Linked DNA regions of Saccharomyces cerevisiae S288C. The gene in region 1 interacts genetically with each later gene. Each region holds a gene or a part of one and is shown on either strand. Other genes may lie near its edges.

What was found.
Region 2: mutations in RIM11 (region 1) and ALG3 together harm fitness more than expected from each alone (negative genetic interaction), as found in Saccharomyces cerevisiae (3 studies listed by BioGRID).
Region 3: mutations in RIM11 (region 1) and ALK2 together harm fitness more than expected from each alone (negative genetic interaction), as found in Saccharomyces cerevisiae (2 studies listed by BioGRID).
Region 4: mutations in RIM11 (region 1) and HRI1 together harm fitness more than expected from each alone (negative genetic interaction), as found in Saccharomyces cerevisiae (3 studies listed by BioGRID).

Annotation. Positions count from the first base shown.
Region 1 is NC_001145.3:544,248-547,816, forward strand, and holds RIM11 (serine/threonine protein kinase RIM11), read left to right. Parts: upstream 1-1,877; coding exon 1,878-2,990; downstream 2,991-3,569. Other genes in the region: DNA cross-link repair protein PSO2, read right to left, coding at 1-716; Arf family GTPase CIN4, read left to right, coding at 908-1,483; SIP5 (Sip5p), read left to right, coding at 3,467-3,569. UniProt on the Saccharomyces cerevisiae protein: Serine/threonine protein kinase that is thought to function in regulating kinetochore activity and entry into meiosis. Could phosphorylate IME1.
Region 2 is NC_001134.8:69,213-73,165, reverse strand, and holds ALG3 (dolichyl-P-Man:Man(5)GlcNAc(2)-PP-dolichol alpha-1,3-mannosyltransferase), read left to right. Parts: upstream 1-2,038; coding exon 2,039-3,415; downstream 3,416-3,953. Other genes in the region: glutamyl-tRNA(Gln) amidotransferase subunit PET112, read left to right, coding at 1-96; YBL081W (uncharacterized protein), read right to left, coding at 194-1,300; anaphase promoting complex subunit CDC27, read left to right, coding at 3,721-3,953.
Region 3 is NC_001134.8:205,407-209,724, reverse strand, and holds ALK2 (protein kinase ALK2), read right to left. Parts: upstream 2,532-4,318; coding exon 501-2,531; downstream 1-500. Other genes in the region: HIR1 (Hir1p), read right to left, coding at 1-72; YBL008W-A (uncharacterized protein), read right to left, coding at 77-316; LAA2 (Laa2p), read left to right, coding at 2,776-3,618; bifunctional glycerol-3-phosphate/glycerone-phosphate O-acyltransferase SCT1, read right to left, coding at 3,908-4,318. UniProt on the Saccharomyces cerevisiae protein: Serine/threonine haspin-like protein kinase involved in cell cycle regulation.
Region 4 is NC_001144.5:728,967-732,080, forward strand, and holds HRI1 (Hri1p), read left to right. Parts: upstream 1-1,858; coding exon 1,859-2,593; downstream 2,594-3,114. Other genes in the region: EXG1 (glucan 1,3-beta-glucosidase), read left to right, coding at 1-1,335. UniProt on the Saccharomyces cerevisiae protein: Unknown. Non essential.

The DNA.
Region 1 (3,569 bases):
TCGCTGGCCTTATAATTGAAACCATCCACAACTATTTCGTGGCCATTATTGAACTTAATTATCTTGAAACTTGGTAAAACAAGTTTTACTCTTGTTGGTTTTTTTGACGTAGCTATATCCCTCTTCGTTTTTGCAGGAGATGATGGATTAGAAATAAAGCTCCTGATATTCTTTTTAGGTGTTCCCATATTGCTCGGGTCACTGCCTATGCAAGTATCACAGTGTGTCTCTCTTTCGTACAATTCTAAATGAGAAAGGTTTTCTAGACAAATAGGACATTGAATAACTTCTGTAGAGACTTTAACATTTACTTGCTCCTCCAATTCCGTTACTATTCGATCTTCGGTCCTATTTTCTATTGCGCTGACTTCGTTATCATGCAAGCTAACTAGTTCTTCCTCGTCTGTGTCTATGGTGATTTCGACCTTTGCAGTGTCTTCAAGGCAAATGCTATTGTGATCGTCATCGTTAATAATTACTGGCTCTGTATTCTTATTGGATGTTGAACAACTGAACCTTGAGAATGAATATGAACTGGAACGGACAGGTAAGTTCGATGAAGTTGGGATGTTGAATTCTGTCAAAGTTCTCTGCCTTTTAGAGGATGTATGTGTGTTCTTATGAAGAGTTTTCCCCTCACTTGTACTGCTAGCGGTGCTACTTCGTTTCCGCTTTACTTCAGATCTTCTTATTTGCACTATAGATTTCCTTGACATAATCAACCGACCACCCAAATTAGTCACTAGTGCGTATGCTGCTTAACATGAGTTTTGACGCAGGTATTTGATTATGTTTATATTGCTATTTTACTAGTACTTTTTCAGTCCGTTTCCATGACAAAATCTAAAAAGCCATCGCACTAATTTATAAAGATAATAAGAGGGAAGCTTAAGGTGTAGAAGAATACATGGGACTACTAAGTATTATCAGGAAACAGAAGCTCAGGGACAAAGAAATTCGCTGTCTGATTCTAGGACTAGACAATTCGGGGAAGTCAACGATAGTAAACAAACTATTGCCCAAGGATGAGCAAAATAACGATGGTATAATGCCTACTGTGGGTTTTCAAATACATAGTCTGATGATAAAAGATGTGACAATATCTCTATGGGACATTGGGGGGCAACGCACATTAAGGCCATTTTGGGATAACTATTTTGATAAGACACAAGCGATGATATGGTGTATAGATGTGAGCCTTTCAATGCGGTTTGACGAAACCTTGCAAGAACTAAAAGAATTAATCAATAGAGACGAAAATCGAATAGGATACGAGTGTGCTGTTATCGTTGTGTTGAACAAGATTGATTTAGTGGAGGACAAGTCCGAGCTTCATCGAAGGTGTTTACTGGTAGAGAGCGAGTTGAAGTGTCTGTTCAAGCCGGACATCCGAATAGAGCTCGTCAAATGTAGTGGCGTTACCGGAGAAGGTATTGATAACCTGCGTGACCGTCTGGTGGAATCCTGCCATTTTACCCAATAATCGTCTAAGATGTGAGCACCATATAAAAACTTTAAATAATGTCAGTATTTATAGCGTGATAGTTCATTACCCGCCGACTGTGCGCATTCGTGGCTTCTGCTCACTCCGGATAATAATACTACCAAGGGGTTCTGTAAGGCTTGCGGGTTACAAAGCACGGGTCCATTGAAGATCTTACACAAGAAGGAGTGGTAGGAAGACCAGCAGATTATTTCCAATCGGTCGTTGCCATTGTCTTATTTCCTTTTCTTTCTGGCGCATTGCATTTTAACACCTTTTTTTCCAGAATAGCCAACCACCGACGTCTGATTCACACATTACTGGGCAAGATCTTGACATAGCATTACATTACAACACGGCAACACTAATCACGCAACGCTAGAACTCGCGCAGGATGAATATTCAAAGCAATAATTCTCCGAATCTCAGTAATAACATAGTGTCAAAACAGGTTTACTACGCCCATCCTCCACCTACGATAGACCCGAATGATCCGGTGCAGATATCTTTCCCTACCACCGAAGTAGTTGGGCATGGTTCGTTTGGTGTGGTATTTGCCACTGTTATTCAAGAAACTAATGAAAAAGTTGCTATTAAGAAAGTCCTGCAAGATAAACGATTCAAGAACAGAGAGCTGGAAATAATGAAAATGCTGAGTCACATAAATATAATAGATCTGAAGTACTTTTTCTATGAAAGGGACTCCCAAGATGAGATTTATTTAAATTTGATACTAGAATACATGCCACAATCTTTGTACCAGAGGTTACGTCATTTCGTCCATCAACGTACGCCGATGTCAAGATTGGAAATAAAGTACTACATGTTTCAATTGTTCAAGTCATTGAATTACCTCCATCATTTCGCGAACGTCTGTCATAGAGACATTAAGCCTCAAAATTTATTAGTAGATCCTGAGACCTGGTCCTTAAAACTGTGCGATTTCGGCAGTGCAAAGCAATTGAAACCTACTGAACCTAACGTTTCCTATATTTGTTCACGGTACTATAGAGCACCAGAGCTAATCTTCGGCGCAACAAATTATACCAACCAAATCGACATATGGTCCTCTGGCTGCGTAATGGCGGAACTGCTATTGGGCCAACCAATGTTCCCTGGAGAAAGTGGTATTGATCAACTAGTGGAAATCATTAAAATCTTAGGTACTCCATCAAAGCAAGAAATTTGCTCTATGAATCCCAATTATATGGAGCATAAGTTCCCGCAAATTAAACCAATACCATTGTCACGTGTTTTCAAGAAAGAAGATGATCAAACTGTGGAATTTCTAGCTGACGTTTTGAAATATGATCCACTAGAAAGATTTAATGCTCTACAATGCCTGTGTAGTCCATATTTTGATGAACTAAAACTTGATGACGGTAAAATAAATCAAATAACAACTGATTTAAAATTGCTAGAGTTCGATGAAAATGTCGAATTGGGCCATCTATCTCCCGATGAACTATCATCTGTAAAAAAAAAGCTATATCCGAAGTCTAAGTAATGATAGCACCGGAGGGAGCCCAGGCAAGAATAATGGGAGAAGGAAGGAACATATATACGTATGTCTTTTTTTAGTACTATTATTACTGTTATTATTATGAGTATTGTTTTTGTATTACCATCATATTCTTATCATTATTAGTAGTAACAGTATTATGTTATCATTACTGTTATAATGAATACAAATTATGAAAAAAATAAGGTAAAGCCAAAATAAATTGTAACTTTTTTATGCCATTTCACTTCGAATTATGTATAAAAGCCGTATTCTTTGCCAGTACGAAACTATTTTAATGACACCTTTACTTTAACCGGGTAACAACTTCCTTAAATGGGTCGACAAGGTTTTTAGAGTATAAAGGGGCAAGTGAAGGTTCATCATCGAGCTGATGTAGTGGGTGTTTTAGTAAACGAAGAAGCACCTTAGAACCAAATAATCTAGCTAGTATAAACCGAACCCAGAGTAGCAAACAAACCATGGGTAATGTTCCAGGGAAAATAGACCAGGAAGATAGTTTTAATGATGTCAGGCCAGATTCCTCATATAATACTACATCATCGAATTCTGTCATCAAACAAT
Region 2 (3,953 bases), on another chromosome or scaffold:
TTCCTAATTGGACAAGGAATGAGACGAAGCCAGGGACGTATAAAGGCAAACGAATTCGAGAAAAAATTCAAAGAGATCTTAAATATTCAATGGTAAAATATAAACGCCGCGTGTAAATAGGAACCGTGCATAAATAATAACAATAATAGTAATACTAATGATAATAATATACATAAAAATATACGTAAACATCTCAACTCCAAACGCTCATGTCAGTATTCCAAATGCCAAAGGGTCTTGATGATGCTGGTTGAGAGGATGAAGATACGTTCATGTGGTTAGACCCCCATCCTAAAGAAGAATCATTCATCAAGAGTGATGCGGACGAAGACATGTTCACTGGTGCCGTCGAAAAATCCTCCCTTTGCGATGGGGATGGTGAATGTTGCGGTGGGTTTATGTTGGTGCCAATAGAGCTAGATGTGGTGGAGGACATGAGCAGGGTTTGGCTTGCTGGTAGGAAAGATACAGTTGGTGGAGAATGTAGATCCGAGATAAGCGAACTGGACGTGGGGCCCACGGGTAAATCATTGATTAAATCGGCGGATGTCGATGTTGCAGTGGTTGGGTTGGTGTGCATAGAGTTGTTTGATGATGACGACGATAAATTTGTGGAAGCTGCCGAAGTTGACGGCAAAATGTATTCGAAGGTGCTTTGGTTGTATGGAGAGGATGAGTTAGAAGTGGAAGAAGTCAACGAGGGAGAGGAGTTCGAGTTGAAGTACCTCGTGGAGAACTGCGTCTGGTTGTAAAGATTGTTGTTGTTGTTGCTGTTGTTGTTGTTGTTGTTGTTGTTGTTGCTGTTGTTGTTGTTGTTGTGAGCATTGACGTTGCTATTGTAGTACAGTTGAGGGTACGTTTGCTTCAGATGTGCAGTAACCATTGGATTGGACGTATACTGGGGATATTGCTTGTATTTTTGCTGGTTCAAATTATTGTTAGCGCTAAATCTGTGGTGTTTCTTTTGGGTATTCATATATGGTACGTCATTAGCTCTGTTCTGGTTGTAAGCCCCGTACGGGGCCGATGGAATAGATCTGTTAATGGATTGTAGACCAGCTTGGTTATGTGGGTTTACACTGCTGTTATTGTTGTTGTTGTAATAGTAATAGCTACCAGTGTTGTTGTATTTCATGTGATTGTAATGGGGGTGGTAGTTCGACTGGTGGGAGGGCGCATTGTGAGACTGGAAGGAATTACTGGACTGATGAAGGAGCTTCAAACTGCGGTACTCCAACAAGTATTTATCCATGTCCTCGTTCTGCGACAAAAACGGAATGCTGATTATCTGGCCTGGCATATATACGATGTCTTAGTGAAATAGAGCCAAAAAAAAAAAAGAAAATTATTACAAAAAACCGAAACCCAAATGATAAATAATAATAGTAACAAATAATAATAATGGAAATCAAAAAAGTCGTATCAAATATTAAGCGAAGGATGGAAGGTACCTCTTGTTCTAGGTGCCACGATGCAGAAAAAAAGATCAGGAAAAACGAATGGGAAAAAGAGAAAAAGCTGGAAACGGGATTCTCTTTTTTCTATGCTGCTTTTGCTTTGCACTATTGGATAGTGTCTGTAGTATCTAAACTGATTGCCTATCTCTTCTGTGCTGGCATCTTATTCGATGTATATAGTTCTTAATATCTAGTGAAAAATTTTTGACAAATTTCTCGAGACCTGAATCTTCGACACGCAAGAAAAAATTGAAAAATTAACGTGGACCCTGGGAAGCGATGAGCTAGAGAAGGTAAATACAGGGTCGTACGACGCAGAAGCATCCCAAAATTGTTGCAACAAGTATGGAATGTCACATTAGAGATTTCCCAATCTTACATGACTCTTTATTGCTGTTTTGTAGATAGCCTTCCATGTAAAATGCATTTGCCGTCACATTCTGTGTGCGGTTGCTGGGTGCTGTAAACAAGCTAAAGAAATTTCGCTATCGAACTTAAAGAACAACGCAGTACACTAGTTGGGAGTGAAAACAGTATCATAGAGTGTGTATGGGAGAGAGAAAGAGTTAGATACTAGTAGTATGGAAGGTGAACAGTCTCCGCAAGGTGAAAAGTCTCTGCAAAGGAAGCAATTTGTCAGACCTCCGCTGGATCTGTGGCAGGATCTCAAGGACGGTGTGCGCTACGTGATCTTCGATTGTAGGGCCAATCTTATCGTTATGCCCCTTTTGATTTTGTTCGAAAGCATGCTGTGCAAGATTATCATTAAGAAGGTAGCTTACACAGAGATCGATTACAAGGCGTACATGGAGCAGATCGAGATGATTCAGCTCGATGGCATGCTGGACTACTCTCAGGTGAGTGGTGGAACGGGCCCGCTGGTGTATCCAGCAGGCCACGTCTTGATCTACAAGATGATGTACTGGCTAACAGAGGGAATGGACCACGTTGAGCGCGGGCAAGTGTTTTTCAGATACTTGTATCTCCTTACACTGGCGTTACAAATGGCGTGTTACTACCTTTTACATCTACCACCGTGGTGTGTGGTCTTGGCGTGCCTCTCTAAAAGATTGCACTCTATTTACGTGCTACGGTTATTCAATGATTGCTTCACTACTTTGTTTATGGTCGTCACGGTTTTGGGGGCTATCGTGGCCAGCAGGTGCCATCAGCGCCCCAAATTAAAGAAGTCCCTTGCGCTGGTGATCTCCGCAACATACAGTATGGCTGTGAGCATTAAGATGAATGCGCTGTTGTATTTCCCTGCAATGATGATTTCTCTATTCATCCTTAATGACGCGAACGTAATCCTTACTTTGTTGGATCTCGTTGCGATGATTGCATGGCAAGTCGCAGTTGCAGTGCCCTTCCTGCGCAGCTTTCCGCAACAGTACCTGCATTGCGCTTTTAATTTCGGCAGGAAGTTTATGTACCAATGGAGTATCAATTGGCAAATGATGGATGAAGAGGCTTTCAATGATAAGAGGTTCCACTTGGCCCTTTTAATCAGCCACCTGATAGCGCTCACCACACTGTTCGTCACAAGATACCCTCGCATCCTGCCCGATTTATGGTCTTCCCTGTGCCATCCGCTGAGGAAAAATGCAGTGCTCAATGCCAATCCCGCCAAGACTATTCCATTCGTTCTAATCGCATCCAACTTCATCGGCGTCCTATTTTCAAGGTCCCTCCACTACCAGTTTCTATCCTGGTATCACTGGACTTTGCCTATACTGATCTTTTGGTCGGGAATGCCCTTCTTCGTTGGTCCCATTTGGTACGTCTTGCACGAGTGGTGCTGGAATTCCTATCCACCAAACTCACAAGCAAGCACGCTATTGTTGGCATTGAATACTGTTCTGTTGCTTCTATTGGCCTTGACGCAGCTATCTGGTTCGGTCGCCCTCGCCAAAAGCCATCTTCGTACCACCAGCTCTATGGAAAAAAAGCTCAACTGAAACAGATGTATAAATATCATATAATCGTATTGTTTTAAATCATTTCTTTATACCATCTATATAGTACTACTAGTATTTAATGGTGCCGTTATTACCCGCGCTTGATTTTCCTTTTTTTTTTTGATCAAAAGGATGGAACAGGCTGAAAGTAAACCAAAAGGATCAAAGTGCAAGCAAAGGTGCCACAGAAAAGTTTATCAAAAAACCATACCTAGCTGTGAGAGTTTTAGACTCTGTTTTGGTGACTGCATATCTATTCATAAATCGACACGAACTTTTCGTGCAGGATACATAATAAAAATAGCATGGCGGTAAATCCTGAGTTAGCACCGTTCACCCTCTCGAGAGGAATCCCCAGCTTTGATGATCAAGCTTTGAGCACCATCATACAGCTTCAGGACTGCATTCAGCAGGCTATTCAGCAGTTGAACTACAGTACCGCAGAGTTTTTGGCCGAACTGCTCTATGCTGAATGCTCCATTCTCGATAAATCAAGTGTTTACTGGTCCGATGCGGTATATTTATATGCACTTTCGCT
Region 3 (4,318 bases), on another chromosome or scaffold:
ATCGACTGTGTATATTTCATATTTTCGCGATTCTTCACGGTGAGCCAACCATGGAAACTTTACCACTTTCATGTTATCAGAGACCTTTGGTTACTGGCAATTTTATTATGCTTCGTTGGTAAGCCTTAATTATTTTATGAATGTTCGCCAATATTATATGTTTCTGCCACCTAAACCAGTAACTTCGTTTTATTTTTGTTGCGATGCGAGATGATTGATTTTGAATATTCTTACGATTACAGTAGCAGTCAACCTGAAAAAGGCAAAAGAAAAATAACGACTTACAGAGGATAACAGTACAAGGGTTCATTTTCATCTGTAAAACATTTTAAAAATGTGCTTTCAGTTTGTGGGGCAAGCTAAAGATAACTGTTCTCAGAAAGAGTGTTCATATTATACTATTTATTTCCTTTCCATTACAAATTGATGTACGTAATTTTTTTTTGCTTACAAATCATTAAGAAGGATACAAAAGCTTGCACCTTATTACTACGATGTCTTTACTGCATTATTTCTCCCTTCAAAGATAACAAATCACCGCAAGTTCTTATAACAAGTTCCTTTTTGAAAATTGTTTTGGAATGTTTTCGAGCAGGATCGAGTAAGTGCGTCAACTCGATTAAGATATTTTCTTCCCGGTTCAAAGCGCCGCTGACTACGGCTTTTTTGGCCATTTTTAGCAGGCTGCTACTTAGGTGATATAACCATAATAGGTTTGTTCTTGGTTCAAATGTAGCCCAGGATATTGGCTGAGGCAGCATGCTTCTCATCAGTTCATATATCTCGAATTGAAGAGTCCCCCGGCCTTGGAAGAAATAATGATGGTCTAATCTTGTATAGGAAGCCTTATTGTTGTCTATATTCAAGAAACGACAGCACTTCATATCAATTAAAGTAACATTCCCTTTAGAGTCTATCAAAATATGGTCCAAAGTTAGATTCCTGTGTTCGAGCTGAAATTTGGATTCAGCAACATATAAAATACTGCTGCACTGCCAGAAAATAGACAATGCTTGAGAGTAATCAATGTTAGAGCACCTTGATAGAGGAGTTCCCTGGTATTTGAAAAATAAGTACAGTATCAAGTTTTGGTCATTTTCACATTGATTTGAGGGCACAACATAAGCTTGCAGTAAATTGGCGACACCGCTAGTTCCTTGTATTAACCGTAATGATTTCAATTCATGTAAGGATATCAAGTTTGAAGTAGTCAAATCACTTAGAGCCCCTAGACATACTTTCTTGCAAATGAGTGAAGTTTGCATATCGCTATGATAAGTTTGCCAAAAGTTATGAGACAGCTGAACCGATCTAGTATTCAACGTAAACAAGCCTAATGACTGAGCTTCACGTAGATCATGTAATATATACTTAACATCACAAAGTTGTAATATTTGTTGCAAAATTGAATCATTGTAGTCCAAAGTGTTTATGGGAGTGACTTCTGAAGATAAGGATGCCAATGATGTTGAATTTTTCAATTTCAGTTGAATCTTGTCCTTTGAGACTTGGTCTGGAACAGGCAATGATATTTGGCAAGTTTTTTTGATCGGATGATTCAGTTCTTGTGTATTTCCTTTACGCCTTACTTTGAGCTTATTTAGTGAAGAATGTGATGTTTTATGCTTCAAACTTCTAAAGGAAAGGTTCGATGATGAATGTTTGTGGTTTAGCTCCTTCGTGCTCTGATGATCGGGCATAATAAATCCAGAATTCCTCTTCTTCTCTGTGTGTTTGCCACCACCAAAAATAGAATTGTGAAAACTTGAAATTGAAGACTTCTTTTGTAACGAATTGGTTGGTTTTGGCTGAACAAAGTTCGGATCTTGGTCATTCACAGATCTGGAAGATAGCGACCTCGACAATAGGTTATCATTTTTCCAGAACTTCCACTTTGAAGAAGAGGTGGTAGAAGTAAAGGAATTAACTGAGTTCACACTGGATGAATGAACATGAGAACTTGTCTTCTCGTCACCCCAGCATTTGAAATCACTACCGCTCCGAAACTTAAGTGATCTAAAATCTTTAACAGGCTCATCCCTTGATAAAGTCGATTGGTTTGAAATAGGTCTCAAGGGTGTACGAAACTTGGAGTTAGTCACCTTTGTAAGACCTTGCTTCGACAACCTTTTAGATGGAGAGAGCAGCTTGTTTTCCGATAGCACCGACTGAGATACATTTTCTTTGTTTGAAGAGTGAGCGGTATCATTAATATTAATTTTATTGAAGAGTTGTTTGAGCGATGAACCTGTAGAAGATCTTTTACCATAGTAATCATCGTTTTCGATGGTTTTACCTACAGGCCTTGTTTTGGATGTTGGAGAATCTGAAGAAGTAAAAAAGGATTGACTCTCATCTTCTGCTGAACCCTTGTGCGAAGTGATTTTGTAAACTTTTCTTCCTACATCCACTGCGGGGCTTCCCATGGATGAAGAATTTAATGAGCTGTCGGCATCATCGCTTTCTGCTACTTCGAGAGCAAAATACCTTCTGTCAGTCATCTGTTGATCTGCTACCGCATCAAAATTCATTTTCTCAATACAAATAGCGCATGTATGTGTGTTTGGTGAAATGATTTTACTACAACTAAATATATTAATACCAATACGCTTTAAGTTATTGTTTACTATTTTCGCTTTTCGAGAAGAGAAGATGTTACAAAAAGTTTCGCGAATTGCTATCAAAACTGAAAAAAAAAAAAAACGTTAGGCGTATCACAAACGAGAATTTAAGGTGTAGCAAGATAGAAAAAGGCACCTCTTTCAAAGCAAGCAAATGAGCGATAGAGATCAGATAGAACCTGTCACAAATGCATTAGATGCAGAAAGTGATTCTAGTGATGATTTTGGGAATTTTTCAGATGCCTCAGTTGAAAATGACCTCTATAACCAGAATTCTACTTTAACGACGTCTTCCGAATCTGTAGTAGATAACTGCTTGAATAAGATACTACCAAAGGGAGAATTTGACCTGGAAGAAGAAACCATAAAGAATGACTGTTTCAAGCTGAGCAAACTTATTGAAGATGAACGACCCCATGTCATTTATGAACAACTCGTACAATTAGATCCTGTGTTACAGCCATTCATATGGAATAAATCTCATATACGCAGAAACTTGCTCCACATTTTGAGATTATCGGATAATAATGGCTCTGAGGGTGTTGGTACGAAGAGGGAGGAAGAACCGTTGAATGATGAGTTGTTCAAAAGGATATGCGATGCAGTGGAGAAAAATGAGCAAACGGCTACTGGTCTCTTCCTGAGGGATAATTTCAAAATTGACTATACACCACCAATGACTTTAAAATCTCTTCAAAAGGAAGAGGAGCGTGAGCAAGAGCAGCATATACCGCAATTGCTTATGGCAGATTTTACTAGTATGGATGAAGAATCTTTACGCCAATACCACGATACATTGTGTCAATCCATTGACTTTTTGGTTAGTAAATCAAGATCATTGAAGAAACAACAGCGAGACCTCCTAAAGGATAAGACAACTTTTGAAAATGTAGTGACGAATTTGACAGGACATACCCAAAGACTACAGCGAGACGAAATTGCATTGTATAACAAAAAGCGAAACAAAAAGAAAAGGTTCAGTTGGGTAGGATACTAATCGCCGTCTCGGCAAAGCAGGTTGAACGTTGAAGTTTGAAGAGAATAAAATGTTATTAGTAGCATAGGGGACCAGACCAAAAGTCGTAAAAGAGCAATATACTTTTTTATAAAACATACAATTATACAATTAGTCCCCCCCTCAAGAAATAAAAAGCCCCTGTGCGAGGGATATACATAAACATTGAGCATTAATATTTACAACTCCCAATGAGCAATAATGGGTTTATTACATAAATAGAACGGCGAAAGATTTAGTTTCTAGTATCTTCACCGTCAGTAAATGGCATCTACGCATCTCCTTCTTTCCCTTCTTCTTCTTCTTCCTCTTCTTCTTCTTCCTCTTCTTCTTCCTCTTCCTCTTCCCTGGCAGTATTTTCACCAATTCTCTTGTTTAAGACGGCCTGTGCGATTTTACTTGCTAATCCATTTTTTTCCTCCAAGATTTCGTTTTCTACCTCAAATTCGGAGGAAGAAGAAGGTGCAACGGATGTCGAAGCTAAGGAAGACTCTGACTTACGATGAAAAGTAGAAGAGAATAATGGAATGTTAGAGAGGGAATTGTCACTATTGACCAATGAGACGCCATCGGAATCTTGGTTATGGTGTTCATAGGCATCGTGGTTGTCACGTTGGCTGATGATAGGTGATGACGAATCTTTTTCTTGTCTTTTTATTTTCTGTTTTCTTAGCATTTTCCT
Region 4 (3,114 bases), on another chromosome or scaffold:
AAAACGTTACTGTGTACGTTGTTGACTGTGTCATCAGTACTCGCTACCCCAGTCCCTGCAAGAGACCCTTCTTCCATTCAATTTGTTCATGAGGAGAACAAGAAAAGATACTACGATTATGACCACGGTTCCCTCGGAGAACCAATCCGTGGTGTCAACATTGGTGGTTGGTTACTTCTTGAACCATACATTACTCCATCTTTGTTCGAGGCTTTCCGTACAAATGATGACAACGACGAAGGAATTCCTGTCGACGAATATCACTTCTGTCAATATTTAGGTAAGGATTTGGCTAAAAGCCGTTTACAGAGCCATTGGTCTACTTTCTACCAAGAACAAGATTTCGCTAATATTGCTTCCCAAGGTTTCAACCTTGTCAGAATTCCTATCGGTTACTGGGCTTTCCAAACTTTGGACGATGATCCTTATGTTAGCGGCCTACAGGAATCTTACCTAGACCAAGCCATCGGTTGGGCTAGAAACAACAGCTTGAAAGTTTGGGTTGATTTGCATGGTGCCGCTGGTTCGCAGAACGGGTTTGATAACTCTGGTTTGAGAGATTCATACAAGTTTTTGGAAGACAGCAATTTGGCCGTTACTACAAATGTCTTGAACTACATATTGAAAAAATACTCTGCGGAGGAATACTTGGACACTGTTATTGGTATCGAATTGATTAATGAGCCATTGGGTCCTGTTCTAGACATGGATAAAATGAAGAATGACTACTTGGCACCTGCTTACGAATACTTGAGAAACAACATCAAGAGTGACCAAGTTATCATCATCCATGACGCTTTCCAACCATACAATTATTGGGATGACTTCATGACTGAAAACGATGGCTACTGGGGTGTCACTATCGACCATCATCACTACCAAGTCTTTGCTTCTGATCAATTGGAAAGATCCATTGATGAACATATTAAAGTAGCTTGTGAATGGGGTACCGGAGTTTTGAATGAATCCCACTGGACTGTTTGTGGTGAGTTTGCTGCCGCTTTGACTGATTGTACAAAATGGTTGAATAGTGTTGGCTTCGGCGCTAGATACGACGGTTCTTGGGTCAATGGTGACCAAACATCTTCTTACATTGGCTCTTGTGCTAACAACGATGATATAGCTTACTGGTCTGACGAAAGAAAGGAAAACACAAGACGTTATGTGGAGGCACAACTAGATGCCTTTGAAATGAGAGGGGGTTGGATTATCTGGTGTTACAAGACAGAATCTAGTTTGGAATGGGATGCTCAAAGATTGATGTTCAATGGTTTATTCCCTCAACCATTGACTGACAGAAAGTATCCAAACCAATGTGGCACAATTTCTAACTAAGTCGCCCTCAGTCCGCTCATTTTAGCTGAATTTTCTAATGTTATTTTTCATCAGCAAAACTTAACAGAACGTTAATTTATCTACCCCTTTTAGTTCATTATCTCTTTTTTATCCAACATTTTACAGAGATCTCTCACTTAAGTCTAAGTAAAGACATTATTTTATATGGTACACTTATAGAATATACGATAATAATAATAAAAACTATGTAACATAACCTTCAGAATTTAATATTAGTTTCCTTTTTACCTCATTGCACTAATAAAAAAATTCTACAGAATCTCCGAAAAAGAAAATCCAGCTTACTCTTTTTGTTTTCTTCTTCACACGTGAGCTTTTCCGCCGGCATACGTTCCGTTCCGTGTCGTCTTGCATAAAATTTCCGAATCACATGTTCGTAAAACAACCGGAAGTGCCCCGAATATAAAGTCAATTCTCACCGCTGTTGTAACTGGAGCTTTAAGGTGTTATCTAAGGAAGGATAAAAGAACTTAAACAACAACAAACAAAAAATTAAGTTACAATGCCAGCATTATTAAAAAGATTATTGTTTCAAGTGGGTCCTCATCCAAACGAAAGAACATTCACCTTATCCTCTGTTTCAACTGATGGGCACTATATTTCCTTGAGACCATTTGTTAAGCCAAGCGGTGATGAGTTATCTTTTCCTTTCGAATGGGCCTTTGCCGGTACAAACGAAACAGTTAAAGCTAATGATCAAGGAAACGGTGTCGTTACTCAAGATTTCAATTTCTGGTTGGATACAAATGTGTACTTGAACGTTCCAAACACCCATCGTGGCGAAGTGAACACCACTTGGAAAAATTGGGATTCTGGTTGTGTCGAGGAAACAGGCGCTGTTTACCCATTCGGTGCCGACAAAGAAAGCGTCTCTTTCAGAGAATTGTGGCAACCAGTTGACCCATCAAGAGAAGATCTAGTCATCGTCTCACCAAACAATGAGAAGTTCTCGTCGAATGCTAGGTCAATTGTCCTCAAAGTTACTGACGAAGCTTATGATGGTTTGGTTATTGTTATTGGTAGATGGATTCAAGGGTTTTTGTCCCAAAAGAATAATAACACTATTGAAGGCTTGAACTTCATCAGATTACTTGAAAAAGATTCAGGTAAATCTGAGTTCTTATTAAGCTACGGTAAGGAAGTAAACAAAATTCCACAAAGCTACGAAAATTTGAAGAAAGGTTCCACTGTAACCAGCAATGGGTTGAACTGGGAAGTTATTGAATATCACGCTTAATAAAGGAGAATAAATCGTTTTCTACTTTCTTCTGCTGCTATAATAAGCACCTATGGGATCTATATAGTATTTTTATAACGATAGACTTTATAAAAGAAAATACCTAAGTGAAAATTTGGTGAATTTTGAGATAATTGTTGGGATTCCATTTTTAATAAGGCAATAATATTAGGTATGTAGAATATACTAGAAGTTCTCCTCGAGGATTTAGGAATCCATAAAAGGGAATCTGCAATTCTACACAATTCTATAAATATTATTATCATCGTTTTATATGTTAATATTCATTGATCCTATTACATTATCAATCCTTGCGTTTCAGCTTCCACTAATTTAGATGACTATTTCTCATCATTTGCGTCATCTTCTAACACCGTATATGATAATATACTAGTAACGTAAATACTAGTTAGTAGATGATAGTTGATTTTTATTCCAACACTAAGAAATAATTTCGCCATTTCTTGAATGTATTTAAAGATATTTAATGCTATAATAGACATTTAAATCCAATTCTTCCA